2 linked regions of the Danio rerio genome follow. The protein of the gene in region 1 purifies or fractionates together with the protein of each later gene. This does not show direct contact. Links are inferred from orthologs where the notes say so. Each region holds a gene or a part of one and is shown in the gene's direction. Other genes may lie near its edges.

Evidence for each region.
Region 2: the proteins of cldnd1b (region 1) and golga7 purify together in Homo sapiens (affinity purification with mass spectrometry; 3 studies listed by BioGRID and IntAct, counting the BioPlex papers as one, with this or other methods). This does not show direct contact. The link is inferred for Danio rerio from reciprocal best matches to the Homo sapiens genes CLDND1 and GOLGA7.

The regions. Positions count from the first base shown.
Region 1 is NC_133176.1:55,824,939-55,830,171, forward strand, and holds the end of cldnd1b (claudin domain-containing protein 1b), read left to right. Parts: coding exon 1-209; intron 210-420; coding exon 421-528; intron 529-2,190; coding exon 2,191-2,328; intron 2,329-3,042; coding exon 3,043-3,263; 3' UTR 3,264-4,067; downstream 4,068-5,233. UniProt on the Homo sapiens protein: Plays a role in negatively regulating the permeability of cells to small molecules.
Region 2 is NC_133185.1:25,240,876-25,247,039, forward strand, and holds the start of golga7 (golgin subfamily A member 7), read left to right. Parts: upstream 1-2,005; 5' UTR 2,006-2,044; coding exon 2,045-2,053; intron 2,054-2,817; coding exon 2,818-2,940; intron 2,941-4,890; coding exon 4,891-5,043; intron 5,044-5,120; coding exon 5,121-5,222; exon of another isoform or gene 5,223-5,416; intron 5,417-6,164. UniProt on the Homo sapiens protein: May be involved in protein transport from Golgi to cell surface. The ZDHHC9-GOLGA7 complex is a palmitoyltransferase specific for HRAS and NRAS.

The DNA.
Region 1 (5,233 bases):
CACTCAGCACTGGTTCCAGTACCACAGCCAGCCGGCCAGCAACGACATCAACAACGGCTCAGACCTCCAGAACCTCCGGCTGGACTTTGAGGGGGAAGATGTGGATGAGATGAGCTACAGTAAAGCTCTGTTCCAGTTGAACGGCACGCTGGGTCTGTGGTGGCGTTGCATTCGGGTGCATCAAGACTCGCATTGGTTTAAAGCACCTGGTAAGGAGACTAATTCAGCTTTAAAAGATAAGGAGGGTAAAGAAAGATTCACTTCATATTTTTGTCCACAGACTAAACCCTGTCAGTTTAAAACCTCAAATAACACTACACTACCATGATTAGAAGTTATCACTGTGTGTTAAGTTAAAAAAAGATGCTAACTACTTTTTGCTTTGTCTGTCTCTTCGCTTGGCTTGTGCTTTTTTTCCAGATCCAGTGATGGTGACTAAATGTCAGGCCTTTACTTTGCAGCAGCAGTGGGAATCTAAGTATAAATCACCTGGAAATATCAACACCGGAGAAGATCTGCTGCGTACATGTATGTCCTGACTAGCATATTTCATTTTTATATTTAATTCTATATTTAAAACTATTGTAAAGTTTAGGATATATTAGGGCTGCATAATATGTTGCTTGATCACCGATATCGCAATGTGTGTATCCGCAATAGTCATATGTGGTGGAAGCTGGGGGTGACGTGGGGCAAACATATTTTTGTTGCGTGTTAGCAGACCCATGTCTCCGAACAATTCTAGTATTTGTTTGAATTACGGTTGGCAACACAACGTGGCATCCAGGGCCGGCGCGTCCATAAAGGCGACCTAGGCGGCCGCCTAGGGCGGCAGTATAGAGACGGCGGCATCCGCGACACCTCCCTTACCACCCGCGTCCTCAGTTATGTCCGCGACACCTCCCTCACCACCCGCGTCCTCAGATATATTCGCCCATAGACGACAGAATAGAGAGGGCGGCGTCAGCGACACCTCCATCAGCACCCGCGTGTCCTCAGTTATATCCGCGCATAGGGCGGCAGAATAGAGAGCGCAGTGTCCGCGAAACCTCCCTCCCTCAGCACCCGCGCGTCCTCAGTTATATCCGCGCATAGGGCGGCAGAATAGAGAGCGCAGTGTCCGCGAAACCTCCCTCCCTCAGCACCCGCGCGTCCTCAGTTATATCCGCGCATAGGGCGGCAGAATAGAGAGCGCAGTGTCCGCAACACCTCCCTCCCTCCCTCAGCACCCGCGCGTCCTCGGTTATATCCGCGCATAGGGCGGCAGAATAAAGGTCCGCGACACGTCACTTCATTTTCATAACCAGGTCACTTTCGTTTTCACATTGGGGTTGAGGGCGGCATGATCGTCCTCTGCCTAGAGCGGCAGTTCAGCTTGCTCCGGCCCTGGTGGCATCTCTCTGAACACTGTTAACGGGTAAAAAGAGTCTTCGAAGCTATACCATGCATATTAATGAAGTTGCATCTCGTTCACAATAGAGCGCACTGATTGGTTCAAACCAAGTCTTTCTCGTGAATTAATCAACAAATATGTGCTGAAAACTCAATGACGTCACTTTGTACCGGCCGGTACAGACAGCCAATTCCAGACTCCACACTCCAATGATTGCTAGTATATGTCTCCTAATAGTGTTTTTAGCAATGTAGGACACATATATGACTGTCAACATCTAAAAAAAATGTGTTTCAGTGTTTTGTGACCCTTTAACAAGCCATAGCAAGCTTGCACCAAATTTACGACCATCTGCACACAAATTTGTCAATGAACTTTTTGTGACACTCTTAAAACAGTGGTCACCAAACTTGTTCCTGGAGGGCCGGTGTCCTGCAGATTTTAGCTCCAACCCTAATCAAACACACCTGAACAAGCTAATCAAGGTCTTACTAGGTATACTTGAAACACCCAGGCAGGTGTGTTGAGGCAAGTTGGAGCTAAACCCTGCAGGGACACCGGCCCTCCTGGGCCGAGATTGGTGACCCTTGCTCTAAAACAAATACACATTAGTGTAAATATAGCCTAACACCCATACCTCCTTAGAATGCGTTGAGGTCTAATAAATATATGTATATTTGAAAAAATAAATATATATATGTACAAATATATAAATAATATTTATTCCATAATCAATAAATGTGGTCATTATTTGATTCTAGATTCATCATTCATGATTGTGATGTGTGTGTTCTCAGACCTGTGGAAGTGTCAGTTCCTGCTGCCGCTGATCTCCGTGGGTTTGGTGTTTCTCGCGGCATTAATCGGAGTGTGTGCCTGTCTGTGTCGCAGTATTACTCCAACACTGTTCGTAGGGCTGCTGCATCTGATGGCTGGTAAGACAACGGTTCATTATGTATAATAGGGGAGTAATTACAGCTACTTCCAGGAAGAAGACTGTTCAGTTCTGAACTGGAAGCTGCAACTGCTTTTTTTTCTGTATTGTGACGCAGTTCAGATTCAGATTCAGATTCAATTTATTTGTCACTACACTTTCGTATAGCGAGATTGGACCCCCCAGACCATACACAAAACATCACAAACAACTTTTCAGGGGAGACAGATCTTAGGTGGTAGCATTTAGAAACGAAGAAAGATTCATTTGGACAGTTAGGCTAAAAAACACCCCCTCAGCTTGCCCTTGATTAGGACAAAGTGAGAAAAGGGAGAGAAACGGAATGAGAAAACACCCCACGGTGGCTTGTTTTTTCTACTGCGAGCTGATTGGGTGTAATAAAGTAGGCATTTCATTCAGAAAGATTGGGTAAAGTGTTTGGGGAGAGTTTTTACAACCTAACAGACTCCTCCTCACAATGTCTGTTGTCCAAACTGACAGCTGGAGGGGTGTGGTTAAGTATGTTAGCCACGCCCGATACCTCAGATAGACATAATCTGAGAATTCAACTGAAAACAGGAAGTGTTTTCAGATTTAAATTTTGAAATGAAATGCACAGATGAATTGTTCACCATAGAACTAGCAATATAAGCTAACAAAATCAATACGGCTAGTTTTGACTTCATGTGTACTTTAACAATCATTCTACACGCAGGCCTGTGTTCCCTGGGGACCGTTTGCTGTTTCCTCACGGGACTGCATTTGCTTCATGATATATCAGAGCTGCCCGAAGGAATGGACTATTCTCCAGGCTGGTCCTTGTTTTTGGCGCTGGTGTCGTCTCCGCTTCAGGTCATGGCGGCTGCGCTTTTCATATGGGCTGCGAGGAGCCACCGCCAACACTACACTCGAATGACAGCCTACAGAGTCGCCTGAACAACCAAGGACTGACTATAAAGTTGGTGAAGTGGTTCAAGGAACGCGCACAGCCTATTCACAGCTGCTTTTGCCACTAACAAAGCTGTGATGAAGTAATGAAGGATACCATCAGCCCAAAATTAGTAAGCTAAACTAGCGCCGTCCACCTATAGCACTCCTGTGAAATACTTGCATCACTTGAAGGATCTTCCTGCTATATTACTGCCTTTTTAACCACTTATTTTAGCCTTTGTGGTAACATTTTACTTGAAGGGGTGTTCATAAGACATAATATATTTAAAGGGGGAAATTAAGCACTCAGTTAAGTTTACATTATTTTGTATATTGGATTCCACTTGAAAATATAATAAACAAACAATTAATGTAACCATTTAGCAGTAAACGGCATGTTTTACTATAGATTTTAGATCTAGGATGCTACCATCTTGGAATGTCGCTGTGTCTGACATCACAGGGTTGGTTCTGTTCCCTCAGGTGAACGGATACTGTGAAAGTAATGGACTGAAAACAAAAACTGAAACAGCCTAATTTAACCCAATGTGTGCAGTTGTGGACGTGGAGCTGGTGTAAATACAAGCATCAGATGTGTGTCTAATATAAAAATACATTTTCTATTTTTCTTTTTGCCTCTTTTAGTTACTGACTATTTGGTTCACTATCTGTATTACGCTGCCTGACTACCTGTCTGGGTTTCAAGCATGGCAGTAACGGACTGAACACAGAGACTGGACAGCCTGATTTAACCATGAAGTTGTGGATGTGCATCGCTGGTGCAAATACAAGCATTTAAGTGTCTTAAGTTGTGTAATTTTTTATTTTATTTTATTTCATTTTTTAATACCTTTTGTTTGATGCCCTGTGGTCCACTCACGCTGCTCCAGGGACAGATTAGTGCGACAATTAAAATCATACATGACTTCACGCTTTACTAAGTCACGTCTGTGTCGGTTATGTCATAACATATTCCCTTTTCAAGCTAATCAGCTCGCTCTCACAACATGTATGAAGGATAAAAATCTGCCATGTGAAAAACCGTGGCGATCTTAGTTTGGTTCGAACACGAACAGATTTGAGCAGCAGTAGCAGTGAAAAGTGAAAGTACCCGCCCCCATTATGTCAGTAGCGGACCTTGTTGAAACCCATTGACTCAGGCAGCATAATAAAGAGAGTGGACCAAAGCACATCAAATGATCAGTAATTAAAAAGAAAATAAATATCTATTTTTATATTAGACACACATCTGATGCTTATATTTGCACCAGCTTCACGCATTGTGTAATTAGGCTGTTCAATTTTCATGATCAGTCTCTTACTTCCATAGTATCTGTTCAGCTGAAGGAACGGAACCAACCCTGTGACATCAGACACAGCGGCATTCCAAGATAGTGGCGTCCTAGGTCTAAAATATGTAGTAAAATATGCCGTTTTCTGCTAAATGGTTACATTAATCGAGTTTGTTTATTATATTTTCATTAAAGTGGAATCCAATGTACAAAATAATGCAAACTTGAGTGCTCCATTTCCCCTTTGAATAAGATTTTATGAATGCTATTGGCAACTATCATTAAGAGCAATTTCGCTCAGTTTAGACATTTTAAATGCAAAGATGACATTGTTTGTAACGACAACTTAACATAAACAAATGCAACCTTTTTTTGAATTTGTCATGACAACTTGACATTACCAAAACAACAAAACCTGTCATAAATCTGTCATAAACATGATTGTCATGAGTCATTACAAATAACATGAATTTTATAACAACGTCATTCATTGATGTATATTTTTACCTCAACTACAGTGGTAAATTTGTCATTAAAACATCATCAAATATTAACGATGCTGTTAAAAAATGATTGGTCACAACTTTATTTTGATGGTCCGTTTGTTGAATTCAAGTTACAATGAATCTACATGCCAACTAATTCTCATTAGATTATAAGTAGACTGTTAGATTAGGGTTAGTG
Region 2 (6,164 bases), on another chromosome or scaffold:
AAGACACAATTAAATTTTTTTGTGAGAACTACCCTTTTAAAGCTGGAGTATGTGAATTGTTTTTTTCAAAATATGCAACACATTTCAATCTTACTATGGTGAAACTATATTATAATTACTATATTCATTCATTTTTCTTCAGCTTAGTCTGTTTAGTCACAGCGAATGAATGAACTGCCAAATTATACAGCATATGTTTTACGCAGCAGATGCCCTTCCAGTTGCAACCCAGCACTTGGAAACACCCATACACTCTCACATGCACACACATACACCACAGCCAATTTAGTTTCTTCAGTTCACCTATAGCGCATGTCTTTGGACTGTGGGGGAAACCGGAGCACCTGGAGGAAACCCACACCACCACGGGGAGAACATGTAAACTCCACACAGAAATGCCAACTGGTCCAGCTGGGGCTCGAACCAGCAACCATCTTGCTATTTTTTTTCTTTTATTTATCTTGTCAATCCACACTATAAAGACATAATCTACTGCAGCAACACTCGGGGGCCACAAATTCGCAAACAAAATAGGGTTGAATGATTTAAAAGAAGATGTTTCTCAGACTGGAATGTTTATAAATGTTTTTTCAAATCTGTTCTCAATTTCACAGCCGGAGATTCCTTTAAAAAGTGCAAAAGTTTGGCTGATAATAAAGCTCATGTGTGAACTGAACAGCATTTCAAACAAACATTCCTGTCTGATAAACTGCAGATGATTCAGATACTCCATAAAAATGCTTCTAAATTTGCACTGCAGAACATCACTGATCCGCTTCACAGATCTCTGTAAGCCGCAAGCTTGTTTTATTTAATAGTACTGAGATGATTCAGTGCTGTCTAAAAGCAAAGATTGATGGAGAAAACTCTGTTCTACGGTATGAAAAATGGCTCAGGTGTCCCACAGGAGTTTTTAGAAAAAAATGATTCCCCCGTTGAATCATTCATCATGCGAGGCTGACTGAACCGCAGCTTCCTTACGTTCTCAATCATACAGATTTTTGTCTGTTCTATATCACCCTGTACAGGTTGTCCAAGTAGGATTTCAAAAAGACAGATGAAGACACGAGAGATGAAGGCTGTTTTTAGCATTAACCTTGTCGTCTTCAAGTTGGCTCGTGTCGGATAAAAGTGAACTAACACCATTAATAAAAGCCGGACTGGGCTGACTTCTTTTCTCAAATTCTCATTCAGGAACACAATGTCCTCCACCCTGAAATGTTGTGATGGTGTTGTCCTAATGCTGGCAAACAGATGCATCATTACTATGCTAAATATGTAGTGAGATCATGTCTGTTTTACATTTCATTTACGTGCAGTGCAACTAAACTTTGAAGATGTTTTATTTATTTTAAAAGGAGGATTAAAGCTTACATTATACATGAATTATGAGTTTGTTTTTCAGCCATACACTTCTGCCACTTTATTATACATCTGAAACTGTTACACAATGTCCGCCTCTGTGTTTTAATTGTTGGAAACATTAGACGTTTCCTGCCTCTAACATTAGACATTTCCACTGTTGGTTCCAATTAAGTAGAGTATTGAAAGATGCAAAGGTCAGTGGTTGAAGTCCAGGTAATGCATTAAAACAAATAGTGTTCTGTCTGTCTGTTTGTCTGTCTGTCTGTCTATCTATCTGTCTCTGTCCGTCTGTTAGAGATTATGATGTGCTGTCTATGCTTGCAAAAGGGCTAATCTATCTAAGATATATCTATCTATTTATCTGTCTGTCTATCTGTCTGTCTGTCTGTCTGCCTGTCTGTTAGAGATTAGAACAGCAATGCTGTCTATGCTTGCAAAAGGCTAACGAAATGTACATTTAAAAAAGGATCACTCATTTGATTAATAATAGTCCTACCCAAGCTACTAAACAAAAGGTTTAATTGCAATCTAGAACAAATTTACCAATGCGACGAACAAATGGGTACAGTTTGGAATTGACCTAGCATCGGAACTAATAAATAAATGTAAAAGTTCCTACCGGACTGTGTTTTGAGGAGGACGAGGAGGCTGAATAACAGGAAGAGGAGAAGCAGCCACTATGGCGGAGGTACGTTGATAAAATATCAAATCTTACACTTTTCAGTTATTCGCTGAAGTTGATTGACATCTAAAATCACACGTTGTAATACACATTTTTCTATCAAACTATTTGGATTACACACAGGTGTTTATAATCCCGTTTATTTGACACGTTAGCGCTTTTCTAGTGGTCTCCAAAGATAATTATCGACGTCGATATCTAACGTTAACTATCCTCTCGCTCAGTGTCAGCGCATATACATGACTATAAAACTAGTTGTCGAGTTTAAAACGAGCTCCGCGTTATTTCATTTTTACGTGTTTGAGGTAGGGCGTTGTGTTTGTTGTTTCGGTGTATATGCTCACGATTTCCGGTGTTTTTAATGATGGTTAGTTTTTATGATAATTATAAAAAGTGTAGTTTCAGCAGCAAATCTGCAAAATGTGAGGATTTCTTAAGGATGATTTGGGCACCGATGATGAAGACAAAGGGGAAAAGGATGATAAATGAAACTCTCCCATCACAATAATAAATGACATTTTATTAAATGTTTTATTAAATAGCCGAAATAATTGTCAGAATTGTTTGTGTTTTAGATTATAACTGGTTTTACAGATTTATTTTCAAGTACTTGCATAAAATAGTTCCGTAAAGCAGGAATTTAATAAGAAATTGCTATTAAGTCTAAAAATGGACAAGTGTTTTTCCTTAAGCATACCCTTTTTACTATTAGAAATGTATTAAAATGACAAATGATTTTGTAATAATATGTTATTTCTGTCTCTCTCCAGACGCACAGCTTGCAGGACCTGCGGCAAGCAGCCGTCGCCTCCAAGGTTTTCGTTCAGAGAGATTACACCAGTGGCACCATCTGCAAGTTTCAGACCAAGTTCCCAGCCGAACTGGAGAGCAGGGTGTGTAGAGGTCCTAAAAAACTAAGGGGGACTTTGGGGAGGAAATTTTTTTTTTTTCGGATTTAGGATTAACAGTGATAAAATGGTTTTGTGGTGGTTTTTAATTTTTGTCTGTCGTGGATAAATAAATATAGCACTAAAAGTGTTTTCACACCTGGCATGTAGTTGTATAACCCAGTGTGTTTTTACCTTCAGGTTGGTTAATTTGGGTAGAAGTGAAGAAGGCAATCAAGCTTGAATTCAGACCAAAATAATCAGTCTGACACAATTAGTCTTAGCAAGGTGCATGAAGACAATCTACTGCCGCTAAGAATGAATGGTGAATTATCATAGAGTAAAAACAACCTGAAATGCCTTATTGATCCTTTGAACTGCAAATTTTAGCACCAATGTCCAAAACAAATAAAACACTGATGAAGCTTTTAAAATAATAAAGGAATGTAACAGCTAAAATGAAATCTACATGAAGCACGCAGAGCTGCTGTGTGTCTTTTTTGACAGATGACTGAGAATCTGGAACATAAAGAGGTGTGTGCTCTGATCAGTTAGATGATAATTAACCTGCACGTAACAAATATTTATCAGGTTAAAAATATCGCCTTGCACAAGTAAACCAAATCATAACGATTTTGTAACTCCTATAATCCCTGTTTCGGAACAAAGCAAACAATCTACTGGTTTGAAAACTGCCTAAAACCCAAGTAGGTAGTGGCAAGTCCCTGTTCTAATGATTTGTTGGATTCATTCTTGATGTTGATACCAAGCAAGTGACTGAACTGATCACTGGATCATTGATGCAAATGATTTATTAAAAAAACTCGGCATCAACAGCTGTGAAGGGAGCTCTATTTGCTTGGTCTCACACACACATACAGGCATCTAAACGTGCACAAACACACCTTTTAAACTTGACAAAAACTCTTGACAACCTTTACTGTCTGCTGTGTCTTTAATATGATGTTAACATTATTATGCGTTATTGAAACATCAAGGAGGACGCAGCAAAGAAAAGTCACTTATAAATTAAAACTTTATTATTTTCTGCAACAACCTTACATTTGAAAAGGAAACAGTCATAGGGGTGATCATACTCAAAAAGACCCTAGCCTATAAGGCTAGATGTTTTCTTTCCCTTATTTATTTATTTGTTTGATGCATGTACTCGTGTGCGATCGGAAAACTGTGTCTGCACTCCGCCCCTCCTTTCACTCCGCCCCGAAGCCCCATTTGGCCCTCTTTGCCCCAAGGTATTCAGCGGGTTGAAAAAGGCTGACCGCTGGCCTCAAGAAAGCCTCGATTTGGCCCGATTAGGCCCCCAAAGTGACAGTGGAAAAGCGACTGGCCTTGGCTCGCTCGCTTTAGGCACGATAGTGGAAACCCAGCCAATGATGGGCAAAACAATCTGTGGATATCTGTGCACACAGATTCTGCCTAATAATGACTATATACAAGTAATAACTAAAATCTACATGTGTAAAATTATTTCTATATTTGTGAAAAAACAAATAAACGCATACACAATTTTTTGCTTTTTTAAACTGAATTATAGTCATTTTCCCAGCATTCTGAAAGGCTTTATGAACTAGTATAGTTTTTGGACTCTCAAAACATGTTTTATTGCTAAATAAATGACATACGAGATAAAATCAGCTTGCACATCATTAAAACAACAGTTACAATATTATCTATAAACATCACACACCCTTATGGCAAACAGCGAAGGACAATGTTTACAGATGTCAAATTCATCTAAAGAATTGTTTTATTGATTCTGACAGCTCTAATTTTTCAGTCAGATGACTTCAGTTTGGTTTTTTGGAGTTTTGCAGATGTTCGTTCTGTTAATTCTACCCAGATGTGTGTGTGGTAAACTGGGAAAGCTAGGGGGAAAGATATAATAGCTCTGTCAAGCAACACCACTTACATCGTCTGATTGTTTTGTTTTTTCAGATTGACAAGGTGCAGTTTGAGGAAACCATACAGACCCTGAATAATCTCTATGCAGAAGCAGAGAAGCTGGGCGGCAGGTCGTACCTGGAGGGCTGTTTGGCCTGTCTCACTGCGTACACAATCTTCCTCTGCATGGAAACACACTATGAGAAAGTGAGATATCATCATTTAGTGTGGATATCATCAATATGACTTAGATATGGAATTCAGTATTATGGTGTTTTGTTTAGGTGCTGAAAAAGATTGCTAAGTTCATCCAGGAGCAAAATGAGAAGATCTACGCTCCTCTTGGGCTTCTTTTGACCGACCCCATTGAGAGGGGGCTCAGGGTCGTATCCTTTCTCTCTTTTTTCACATGTCTGTCTGTTCACGGGTGAAGTGGGTGTTTTTTGACCTGACAAATTTGTAAATTAAATTTTTTTTTTTAAGCATTTTGAGTGGGTCGCAGAGAGATGCAGGATTATGTTATGAGGACTCATAACATTTATAAATTTTATTGCACATTCTATTTAATGCATATTCATCAGTATTAATAATATTCACAGCTTAATGGCCATGGAAAATGTGGGATATATAGAAAGCAGATCTATCTATCTATCTATCTATCTATCTATCTATCTATCTATCTATCTCTGTGTGTGTGTGTGTGTGTGTGTGTGTGTGTGTGTGTGTGTGTGTGTATATATATATATATATATATATATACATATACACACATATTACACAATACACAATACACAATATACACAATACATATTATACATAGCTGAGGCATGCAAATGTTTGTGGATAAAGTGTATATATTAAATTTTTTAAAGAAAATTTAAGAAATTATTTTGGACTAAAAACATTCCTTTTAAGACATCTTTGTTTGATAAGAAAATGAATAAATATAAACACACTGCAATTTGAGTGCTTTCATTCATTATTATGCAACAGGAAGCACACGTTCCAAATGCATGTAAATGAGCTCAGGAACATTAAAATTTAATATTTGGATTGCTTAAATGTTCTTGTATCACAAGATAAAGCATTTTCAGAATTTTACAGTGAGTTGTACTGGTTGCCTGTGTCACTTTTAAAATTCTTCTCTTGGTTTTTAAATCACAAAATCTTAATTATGTAATGTCATTACTTATTATTATGAATTACTTAAATCACTTATTATGCACCTCTCAAGTCCAGGCTAAAATGCTGGGCTGACCATGCTTTCACAGTAACTGGTCCTAGATAGTGGAATGCTCTGCTCTTCTGTATTAGATTTGTCATCTCTG